2 linked regions of the Rattus norvegicus genome follow. Each later gene encodes a partner of the first gene's protein in a complex. Links are inferred from orthologs where the notes say so. Each region holds a gene or a part of one and is shown in the gene's direction. Other genes may lie near its edges.

Region 1 (5,210 bases):
TTCAAAAAGGCTTAATGTTCAACAACAGAGAAATCTTAGGGGCTGGTAATGGAGGGCAGACATGTTCAATTGAGCTTGGGCTTTTCTTTCCTGGACCCTTAGTGGTCAGGGGTCAGGGAGACAAGCGGTCTGGGGAGAGCCAGCGAGCCGCCCCCCCCCCCCCCGGGAGGATAGAGACTCAAGCCTCAGCAGACTGAGGCTCTCTCCCTGGCAGGAAACAAGGAAACAGCCCAGTGGACCATTCGGATCCTTAGCTATCTTACTCCTGATGGCTGGTCCTTTTGCCTTGTGCAGGGGACCTCTACTGTCCTGGGAAGTGTAAAAGTGATCTGTGACACAGAGGGAGAGTCCTAGTGTCCTGTCTGTCCATCCTGAGAGGCTGGGCAGACCTGGCTTTGCTCAGGAACGAGTGAAGGAAAGGTTTTCTTTGGGGTGTCCCCACAATTTGTACAGCATGAGAAGAAAGCTTTAGCAAAGGCTCTTGCAACCCTTACGAACTGTCGAACTGTCTCGGGGCAGCCTGGTGACTGCAGCCATCTCAAGAGATCTTGTCTTGTACCGAGGACACTCAAACTGCTACAGATCATATGGTTCCCCAAAGGTTCTAAGACGGGGAAATCCCTCCTGGTGACAGCTTTGGACACTAGAAACTGTTGCTCTATATGGCTCAACTGGTCAGCTCAGTCCTGTGCTCCTACCCTCTCAGAGCACCCAGGACCTGCTCCTGCTGGCAGCAGTGAGGTCCACTCCCTCAGCGTGTGGACAGAAGCAGGACACGAGGATGACCCACACTCTACAGGACTGGAGAACTGGCAACCTCCTGCTAGCTCAGGCCCCCACAACTTCTGTGCTCTTAAAGTTGCTGTGAGGCTGCACCCCGTTGAAAGCTCTCATTTAAAATTCTAGTCTTGTTCCCCAGGGCTCCAGCAAAGGCATCAGCATCGAGCTTCACCTTTAACAAGCCGGGCTGGCAGCCGCCAACCCTTCCGCTAGGCGACAGGTGTCCTGAGTGGCAGTCCAGGGCACAGACCATACAGAGCCCCAGGGAACTGGATGTGTTTGAGCTGGACACAGCCCAGTTCTGAAAAGAGAGCATGTGGGGGGTGAGAAGCCACGGAATTTTCTGGATAAATCGTACCCACTGTCACCAGAGTGACCCTTAAGTGTGAGCCACATTTTCTTGGACTTCTCTTCTGAAAGGGGTTTAAAAACGTGATAGCCTGAATCCGAGGTGGGGTGAGTCCGCTTCGGAAAAGTGGGGCAGTTTATGGCTCACCACCCATCCGGCCTCTCGGGCCCAAGTCCCTTCGCGGGCAGGGTGGCAACAGCTGGCTGGCCCTGCCTGGGGTGTGCTCGGGGATCACCGCCTGGACTCCCCCTGCGCCCTTGCCATCGAGCCCCCGCAGCCAGCTCTGCTGTCGTGTCTTGGGTCCGGCGGGCACCTGGACGGCTCCCGGCACCCGCCCCTCACCGCGCGCTCACCCAGCTGCCCAAGACTAGTCCCCCCAACTTGTTCTCCGCTGTTAACTAGTCGCGCTGGCGGAACGATGGGATGGGGTTGCCACAGCAACCAGACTGGACGTCACAATCCGGGCATGTGTGCCGCCCCCCCGCCGTGCCGCCGTGCCGCGGGCGCTGCCGCCGCCACCCTCGGCCGGCTGCGGGACTCGCGCTGCGGGGCGCGGTGGGCGGAGCGGCCCGGGCTTGGCGGGTGCGGGCAGAGGCGGCCGAGAGCTTGCGGGGTCGACACGGGGGGGTGGAGGTTTGGGGGGCGGGGGGGGCCGGCGGCCGCCATCTTCTCGCCGAGACCGCCTCGCCCGCCGCGCGGGTCCGTCCGGCAGCGCACGGGTTAAGGCTGGCACCGCGCCCGGCGGGAGGGGGGCGCCCACCTCCCCTCCCCCCCGCGCCGGGCATGCGGGGCCCGCTGGGCACCGAGGAGGAGCTGCCGCGGCTGTTCGCGGAGGAGATGGAGAACGAGGAGGAGATGTCAGGTGAGGGGGCGCGGGACCTGCGGGCCCGGGACGCGGGAGGGGCGCGGGGCTGCGGGCTGCGCTCCCGCCCTGCTGGCGCCGCGCTGGCCAAGGGCGCAGGGCCGGGCGAGCTCCGGGGCGCGGCGCGCGGGGCGGGGTGCGCCGAGGACCCCCGGGCGAAGCCGTGGCGGGGGCCTGCGCCGGCTGCCGAGCGGGAGGGGGCGCGGCGAGCCGGGGTCAGCCCGCGTGCCCTTGAAGGCGGCGGGAAGCGCGCGCCGCGGGCGGGGCGAGGACGGGCGGCGCGTGGGGAGCTGGCGATGCCCAAGCCTGGGCGCGCGGGCTCCGCTACCGGCGCCTGACAGTCGCTCCCCAGCACTTTGCCCGGGCCGCCCTGGGTGCTAGGCACGCTGGTGCCCGCCGGGTTCCCAGCCCACCCTGCTTCCTTGCCTGTGGGCCTGACGCCCCAGGGCCACCGCCCCTGCCCTTGCCAGCTGCCTCTCTGAATTCAGCCTCCTTCGTGTTTGTGCCTCAGGGGTTACCTTGCAGGATTTTTCAGTTAACTGGCTCCCGTCCTGGCAGGGCCTCACCCTGTCAGCTGCCCTCCCTCCCTTCTGAGGGGCATCACTTCTCAGCTTCTCAAGTCCATGGCTCCTCCTGGACTTCTGAGGTACTTGTGAGAGGTTAGAAGGGCCCCCTTCTCCCAGGAATCTCCATCCCTGAGGATGAGACTATTTAACACACTCACACCCCAGTTCCTATTCTGCAGGAGAGCGCACTACCTCCCAGGCTAGCATCTTCACCAAGGGCCACACCCCCTGCCCCCAGTCTCCTCCTCAGCTGGCTAGCTAGTTGGTTTAGTGGATTTGATGCTGTCACTGGGGCCTGCTGCTCAACCCCTCCCCTTTCATCCAGGCCGAGAGCCTTCCATGGGGTGAGGTGTGCAGGGGCATGGTTTCCTGTGGCTGACTGCTCCGAAGCAGCCAGACCCTCTGTCTCCGAGAGGAAGGCAGAAGGCCAAGCACATGAGAAACCTGTGGCTGTTTTCTACTTGGGAGCCTGATCTTCAAAGATCCCTGGTGGTGATTGGGGCGTGGCCTTTTGTGGCATTGGCAGGGGCCATGGACAACTGACTTTGGATCATCAGACCCGTTCCTGGGTCTTCAGTTACCCCAACTGTGTTCACCTCCTCCTTGCTGCCTGGTCTTGCTTGCATCAGGGTGTAGGGCTTGGTGAGGTCTTGGATGCCCCCAGAGAAGTGGACACGGTCCTGTCTTATTCCAAATCTCCAGAGTAGGTAGGGAGTTGTCCCTTGGGGCCTTCAGGAGTACTTCCAAGGCCATACAGAGGAGGAGACACTTGTTCCTGTCACTCTAGTCGGGAATTCAGGGCCCTGTCTACCAACCACTCCAACTGCTTTGCCCCCAGAGCCTGCCAGGATTCAGCACCTTGCCAGGCCTCTGGCCTAAGTTTCCTTCCCCCGCCCATAGGCTCCCTCCAGAACTTTCCAGTGGTCAATGACCTTCCTTCCTTAGACCCAGACCATTGGTCCACCTGGTCTTCCCATTGCTGCTTCTCCTCACACAGCCTCAATGGGCTCCAACTCCTGATGCCTGATAGTATTGCTATGAAACCCTGCAGGCACCATCTTGTCCTGGGGCCCTGGCTTTAGCCTAACCTTTACCGGGCTCCTGTCCTTTGCTTGCAAGTTTGTTCTGTCCACCTAGGTTCCAGCTGCATTGCATTATGGGACACCCTCTTTCTTCTTCCGGGGTTATTTGCTTGTAGCTTGTTCTGTTCTCTGAACCTTCTGTCAGCCTCCCCTCCCCCCCCAAGTAGAGTTCCTAATTGCAATCTGGACAGAGGATACCTGAGAGATTGTGAGAAGGGGTCTCTAGGTCACCCCTGGCTCCCTGGATGTGGGGACATCCTATCCCAGTCATGTCTGTTGGCAGTGTTGTCTGCCTCTCATGGCCTTCTGCAGTGTTGGGTGGAGTTCCAGGAAAGTGACCTCTTAGCCCCCTGGAGCCAGGTGGGAGGAACCAGTGTTCTGGGAGCCTCACTCAATCGTCAGAGGTTGGACTTGGGTTTGTTGGAGTCTGCGCAGTGTGTTTCCTACACAGTGCTTTGCTTTGGTCAGTTCTCTAGTTCTGTGGAGGGTGGGTGGGCCTGCTATGAGGAGGAGCGTCAGATAGGCTCCAACCTCTTCTGGCTTGGAGGTGTGCAGCTGCCAGATTCCCGGAGGAGTGTGCTGGTCAAAGGGAGGACTTAAGAGTTTGATGGATGGGGCTGGAGAGATGGCTCAGTGGTTAAGAGCACTGACTGTTCTTCCAGAGGTTCTGAGTTCAATTCCCAGCAACCACATGGTGACTCACAACCATCTGTAATGGGATCCGATGCCCTCTTCTGGTGTGTCTGAAGAGAGCAACAGTGTACTCATATCTATTAAATAAATAATCATTTTAAGAAAGAGTTGGATGGACGGAGGAAGCCTTAAGTTGCAGCAATGTTCTGGATAGTCCTGGGGTGTTGGGAAGTCCCTCAGTCCCTCTGCCTCAGTGTCCCCCACTTGTAGAATGAGTCTGGCACCAGCTACCTCATAGAAGGTTATTATGAGGTCTCGTAAGAGAGTACACGTAGAACGTCCAGGTCACAGTGCCCAACACGTCACAGCTGACCATGGCAGGTGCGACTAGCATCTAAAGGGGGAGCTGGCTCCCTAAGGACATGCTCCTGAGACTTGAACTCTTATCCAGTAAGTGCTGGTCAGGGGACGTGGCTGGGGAGGGACTGCCTGAGGAGGGGCTGAAGGCAGAGAGGAAAGGGCTTTTCCTCAGGGGTGTGCTCTGCTGGGCTGGAGGTCTCCACGGTTAATTGGAGAAACCATCAAACTGATGAGCCCAGCCTGTCTTCTTGCTGGTCCTGGGGAGACAGGTCCTTGTCTCTGTCCTACAGACCTCCCTGTGTGAGTGTTTCAGGTTCCTTGGGGTCAGAGGTGAGGATCTGACTCACCATGACTCGAAAAGGCCTGCACTTCTTCTTCTTCTTCTTTTTTTTTTTTTTTGGTTCTTTTTTTCGGAGCTGGGGACCGAACCCAGGGCCTTGCGCTTCCTAGGTAAGCGCTCTACCACTGAGCTAAATCCCCAGCCCCAAGGCCTGCACTTCTAAGCTGGCCCTCCATTTAGGGTAGGGATGTTCCAGGGAGCTTGACTCTTTCAACACCCACCCAAGCATCAAATTATC
Region 2 (4,772 bases), on another chromosome or scaffold:
ATTTATTTTATGTATTTGAGTACACTGTTGCTGTCTTCAGATACACCAGAAGAGGGCACTGGATCCCATTAAAGATGGTTGTGAGCCACAATGTGGTTGCTGGGAATTGAACTCAAAACTTTTGGAAGAACAGTCAGCACTCTTTTTTTTTTTTTTTTTTTTTGGTTCTTTTTTTCGGAGCTGGGGACCGAACCCAGGGCCTTGCGCTTCCTAGGTAAGCGCTCTACCACTGAGCTAAATCCCCAGCCCAATAGTCAGCACTCTTAACCGCTGAGGCATCTTTTTGGCCTTTTGTTTTTCAATAGTCTTAAAAAGGGAGATTTATTTAGTTGAGAGTGGTGGTACATGCCTTTAATCAAAGCACTTAGGAAGCAGAAGAGGATCTCGGTGAGTTTAAGGCCAGCCTGGTCTATATATTGAGTTTCAGGTTAACCAGAGCTAGATAGTGAGACCCTCTCTCAGAAAAAAAAATATATATATATGTCTAGGGTGTTTTCCCAGACTGTATGTTTGTGTACCACATGTTTGCTTAATGTCCACTAAGAACAGAAAAGGATATTGGGCCCACTGGAAATGCAGTTACAAATGGTTCTGAGGCACTGTGTAAATGCTGCGAATTCTAACCTGGGTCCTCTAGAAGAGCAGCCTGCCTTCTTTCCTGCTAAGCCATCTCTGCAGCCACTTTTTTCTGCTTTTTTTAAAAAGAGAGTTGGAGCTAAAGGCATGGCTCAGCAATTCTGAAGACATAGATGCAGGCATATACACAAAATAGATCTTTTTTTTTAATTTTAAAGTGAATTGATTTCAAGGAAATAGGAATGAGATGGCCAGACCCAGGTAGGAGTTTCATTAATGAAGTCAGAACAATAATCAACTGTGCTTCCACCCATATAGGGCCGACTCTCTTCTCTATTTCTCTGCCCACTTCCTAGTTTATCGTCCAGGTATTATTATCCTCATGTTTCATACGAGGAAACTGAAGCATATTAAGACAAGAATCTGTGGCGAGTGCCTGTAATCCTTAGCATTTGGGAGACAGAGCATCAGGAGTTCAAGGTCATCCTTGACTACACAGGGAGTTCGCGTTCTGACAGGACTACTTGAGACCTTGTCTCAATCCCATCCAACCCGCCAAAAGGAGAACCCAGGAGGAAACCATCAATGAGGTGCTGAGATTTTAGCCAAGATCTTGACCCGGGTCCTGACTTGACCTAACGCAGTCCTTCAGTGGAGAAGGTGGGAGACTTAGGGTTCAGGCCTTGAGCAGTGTCGTCAGCTGCCTTGTACCCACCTGCCTACTAGACATAAGGTGTAAACCAACCTAGAGAAAGAGCTTGGTAAAACCTTTGGTGAAGGAACCGTTGCCATGGGAACAAATACAGGCCTGAGGCGCGCGCGTGCGCAGAGGCGAAGGGGGGGCACCGAACCGGTTAAAGGTGACGTAAAACGCTCCGGGTAGGGCGGAGGGTTCATACTGGGGGAGCCGTGGCCTTGTGAGGGAAGTCACGAGGCGGTGAGAACTAAGTGTGTTCGGCGGCCGGCCACACACTACCGGAGCAAACCGCGGGGACCAGACTGGCCCGCTGCGGAGGCCCCGCCTCTCGGACCTCGGGACTAATCGGATTGAAAGCGCGCCGGCCCCGGGCCCCGAACTCGCCAATTGAGGAGGACGGCGGTCACCGCCCAATCCGGGGCAGACAGGTGCGAGGTCCGGAAGGTGGAGGCCAATCGGAAGCGGTTGCGGCCTGCAGGGGCAAGATTCAGCCAATGAGGAGGCTCGAGTGACAGCTGAGCACACCAATCGAGAGTGAGGAACGGTCGTGCCCGCCCGCCCTTCCGGCCGGAGCTCTATTTACCAGGGGCGTGCAGATCGCTTGCCAATCAGAGTGCGGCTGAGCTGCCGGACAGCCAACCCCAGAGGAGCGGCCGGCTGGCGGCCGCCGCACTAAGGAGTTGGGATGTCCTACAAACCTATCGCGCCCGCCCCCAGCAGTACCCCCGGCTCCAGCACCCCCGGGCCAGGCACCCCGGTCCCTACAGGTGAGGCGCCAACTCCACCGTTGCTCGTCTTATTCGGGCAGTCGAGGTCTTGTAGAGAAACGGCTCGAGTTTTGCAATACAGGGCCTGCTAGGCGAGCCTGGCTCAGCCTCAGTTTGCTAGCCTGAGAAGTGGGCGTGGTCACGTAGAGATTGTAGGTGGAGCGCAAGGGGGAGGAGTGTGTCTCTGAAGTTGTTCAGAGTGGAATGAAGAAGCATGCCTTTGGAGGTGGTCAGGAAAACGGTCCTGGGCTTGGAAATCTGTAAGGAGGTCCTTGTCACACTCTAACCTCTTACTCGTGTCGTTGCAGCCGGAAGTGTCCCATCGCCATCGGGCTCAGTGCCAGGAGCTGCAGCTCCTTTCAGACCACTGTTTAACGACTTTGGACCGCCGTCCATGGGGTATGTACAGGTGAGTGTGGCTAAGAGCTTGCTTATGGATAAGGACAGGAGATGCCCTCGGGGTCTGAGGTCACAACTGTATTTTCTTTTGACACAGGCAATGAAGCCACCCGGTTCCCAGGGCTCTCAGAGCACCTACACGGACCTGCTGTCTGTCATAGAGGAGATGGGCAAAGAGATCCGACCCACCTATGCTGGTAGCAAGAGTGCCATGGAGCGCCTGAAGAGAGGTAGTGAAGCCAAAGCCCACCCTTGTTCTGCCCAGGACACAGACATTAAGAATTATGAATATTAAGACATTTCAGTAAGGATGGAGGATATCTAGAGTCAGTTCAGGACATTTGGGCCAGCCTAGATTAGAACAGAACCTGTCCAGGAAGGTGTTTGAAATGAACTTGAGTCAGTGTTCAAGAAGGTGCTCGGGAACTCAGGGTGAATGTGAGAATTAGCCAAACCCTTAATCTCATCCAGCCACACTAGATTAGGGGTGATCTTGCTGAACCGTGAAGGGCGGGAAGTGTCTGCTCTGCAGGGTGACTGTGGGAGGTTTCTGAGGCCCTGCTTCTTACGTCCCCATCCTACCCCGCCCCACCCCAGGTATCATCCATGCTCGGGCACTAGTCAGAGAGTGCTTGGCAGAGACAGAACGCAATGCCCGCACGTAACAGGAAGCACCTTGACCTCTCCGTCGGGACCTTTCCGGCCACTGCAGAGCACCTGCTTCTCCCTGGCCTTTGCCCCAAGTTGCTTCCTATCCTGGGCTTCCTGTCCTGTGTTCCTTGGTGGGCACCTTTCAGGAACCAGGTAGCAGATCTTCATCCAGTTGGCTGTACAGACTGGTCTCTCCCTCTGCAGGAGTGCTGAGAGGCCACCGTGAGTCCCATCTGTGACCTGATCACAGTGCTGATCTAACTGGAGCTTCCTCTCTGTGGTCCCACCACATGGCACTTACTCCTTAACTCTTAGTCCAGGCCGCCTCCTCCCTCTCCAACAGGGGTGCAGAAGGCCTCCCTGCCTCATCTCTGGGGCCACAGCTGACTCTTTTTTTGGTGTGTCTTTTACTAAATATGCCCTTTTTATATAAATAAAAGATGATTTGGAGCCATTCTCTCGGCTCTGAGCCTTTCTGTGTGTGATTCCTCTGGGGGAAGCCTGCTTGAACCTATGCCTTCCCACCCTGTCCTTTGCCACCTCCAGCTCTGTGCCTTCCTGCTGGGGGAGTAGCTGAAAGGCCAGAGCACCAGTGGTGGGGAAGTCTGCATAGGGAGGTGCCACCAGAGGGCAGTGTAGGGCCTTGGCTGCCTTCACAGCTGGAGGTACTGTTGGGCAGCCTGAGCCTGAAGGGCCCTTGCTCTGTACTGTTGGGCAGCCTGAGCCTGAAGGGCCCTTGCTCTGGATTGGCAGGCATGCCTGGCAGGGTGGAGATACCAGTTCACCGAAGTCCCACCTTTGAATGCCTTAATGCCCCTACACTACCCTCCACTTTAAACTATCTTTGGAAGGCTCCGGATTCGCCAGGTCTCTGACTCCTTAGGGAGGCAGTTAGAGGCTCCCTTCCCCCCAGCACCTGCAATCCACTGTCCCGACAACTTCCACCAGGCTGGGTGTGGCTCCATGAGCCAGCTATGGGTGTCTCAGCCTTTGTACAGAGTCAGAGCAGTTAGATGGGTGGCCGAATTTGAGAACCTAGCAGACATAGTAGAGAAGGACTTTGGCCCCATTAAGGGGATGGCCTCTACCCCCCTATGTAGCTAAGTAACCCTGTAATGCCAACCCTAGGCAGAAGCAAGTGAGAGCTTCCAACTTCTGTCTAACTGGGGTACAGCATTTCCTCTAACCTGGGATCCAGCCAGGAGGGCTGCCCTGGCTGGGCCCGGGTGGGAAATGAAACCGAGAGTCTTTGGGGTGTACAGACAGCACAGAAATAAAGAACTGGCATTTGGAGACCGGCCACTTCCCAGTCTGCCTTGAAGAAGGAAGGCAGGGACCAGCCCTGCTGCACCGCGGGCGGGGCTGCCCCCGACCCTGCCGGGGTGGGGAGGACTAGCCCAGGAAGGGGGCGGGGCGGCCGCAGTGACGCGGCGGGGAGGGACAGCAGGGGCGCCGGCGGACAGACTGGGGGAAAAAGGTCGGGGCTATGGGCCGGCTCCGCGCCTCCAGAGGGTCGGGCTCCGTCTGGAATCCGAGGCCGAGACTGGGGGCACAACGAACTCCCACCTTGTGGCCGGCCGCCCCTGCCTGGGTCGGGTGAGGGGCGCCCACCAAAAGCTAGAGGTGAGCGGGGACGTTGGTGAGCGGGCAGATCAAGAGCGCGCCTGGCTCCAGGGACGCGG

The links.
Region 2: Chd5 (region 1) and Cdk2ap2 share a complex: the UniProt entries of both Homo sapiens proteins name them as parts of the nucleosome remodeling and deacetylase (NuRD) repressor complex. The link is inferred for Rattus norvegicus from reciprocal best matches to the Homo sapiens genes CHD5 and CDK2AP2.

The regions. Positions count from the first base shown.
Region 1 is NC_086023.1:168,129,222-168,134,431, forward strand, and holds the start of Chd5 (chromodomain-helicase-DNA-binding protein 5), read left to right. Parts: upstream 1-1,890; 5' UTR 1,891-1,912; coding exon 1,913-1,991; intron 1,992-4,574; exon of another isoform or gene 4,575-4,694; coding exon of another isoform or gene 4,695-4,722; intron 4,723-5,210. UniProt on the Homo sapiens protein: ATP-dependent chromatin-remodeling factor that binds DNA through histones and regulates gene transcription. May specifically recognize and bind trimethylated 'Lys-27' (H3K27me3) and non-methylated 'Lys-4' of histone H3.
Region 2 is NC_086019.1:210,819,054-210,823,825, forward strand, and holds Cdk2ap2 (cyclin-dependent kinase 2-associated protein 2), read left to right. Parts: upstream 1-1,882; 5' UTR 1,883-1,958; coding exon 1,959-2,040; intron 2,041-2,348; coding exon 2,349-2,449; intron 2,450-2,536; coding exon 2,537-2,669; intron 2,670-3,036; coding exon 3,037-3,104; 3' UTR 3,105-3,294; coding exon of another isoform or gene 3,295-3,329; 3' UTR 3,330-3,551; downstream 3,552-4,772. UniProt on the Homo sapiens protein: Acts as a component of the histone deacetylase NuRD complex which participates in the remodeling of chromatin.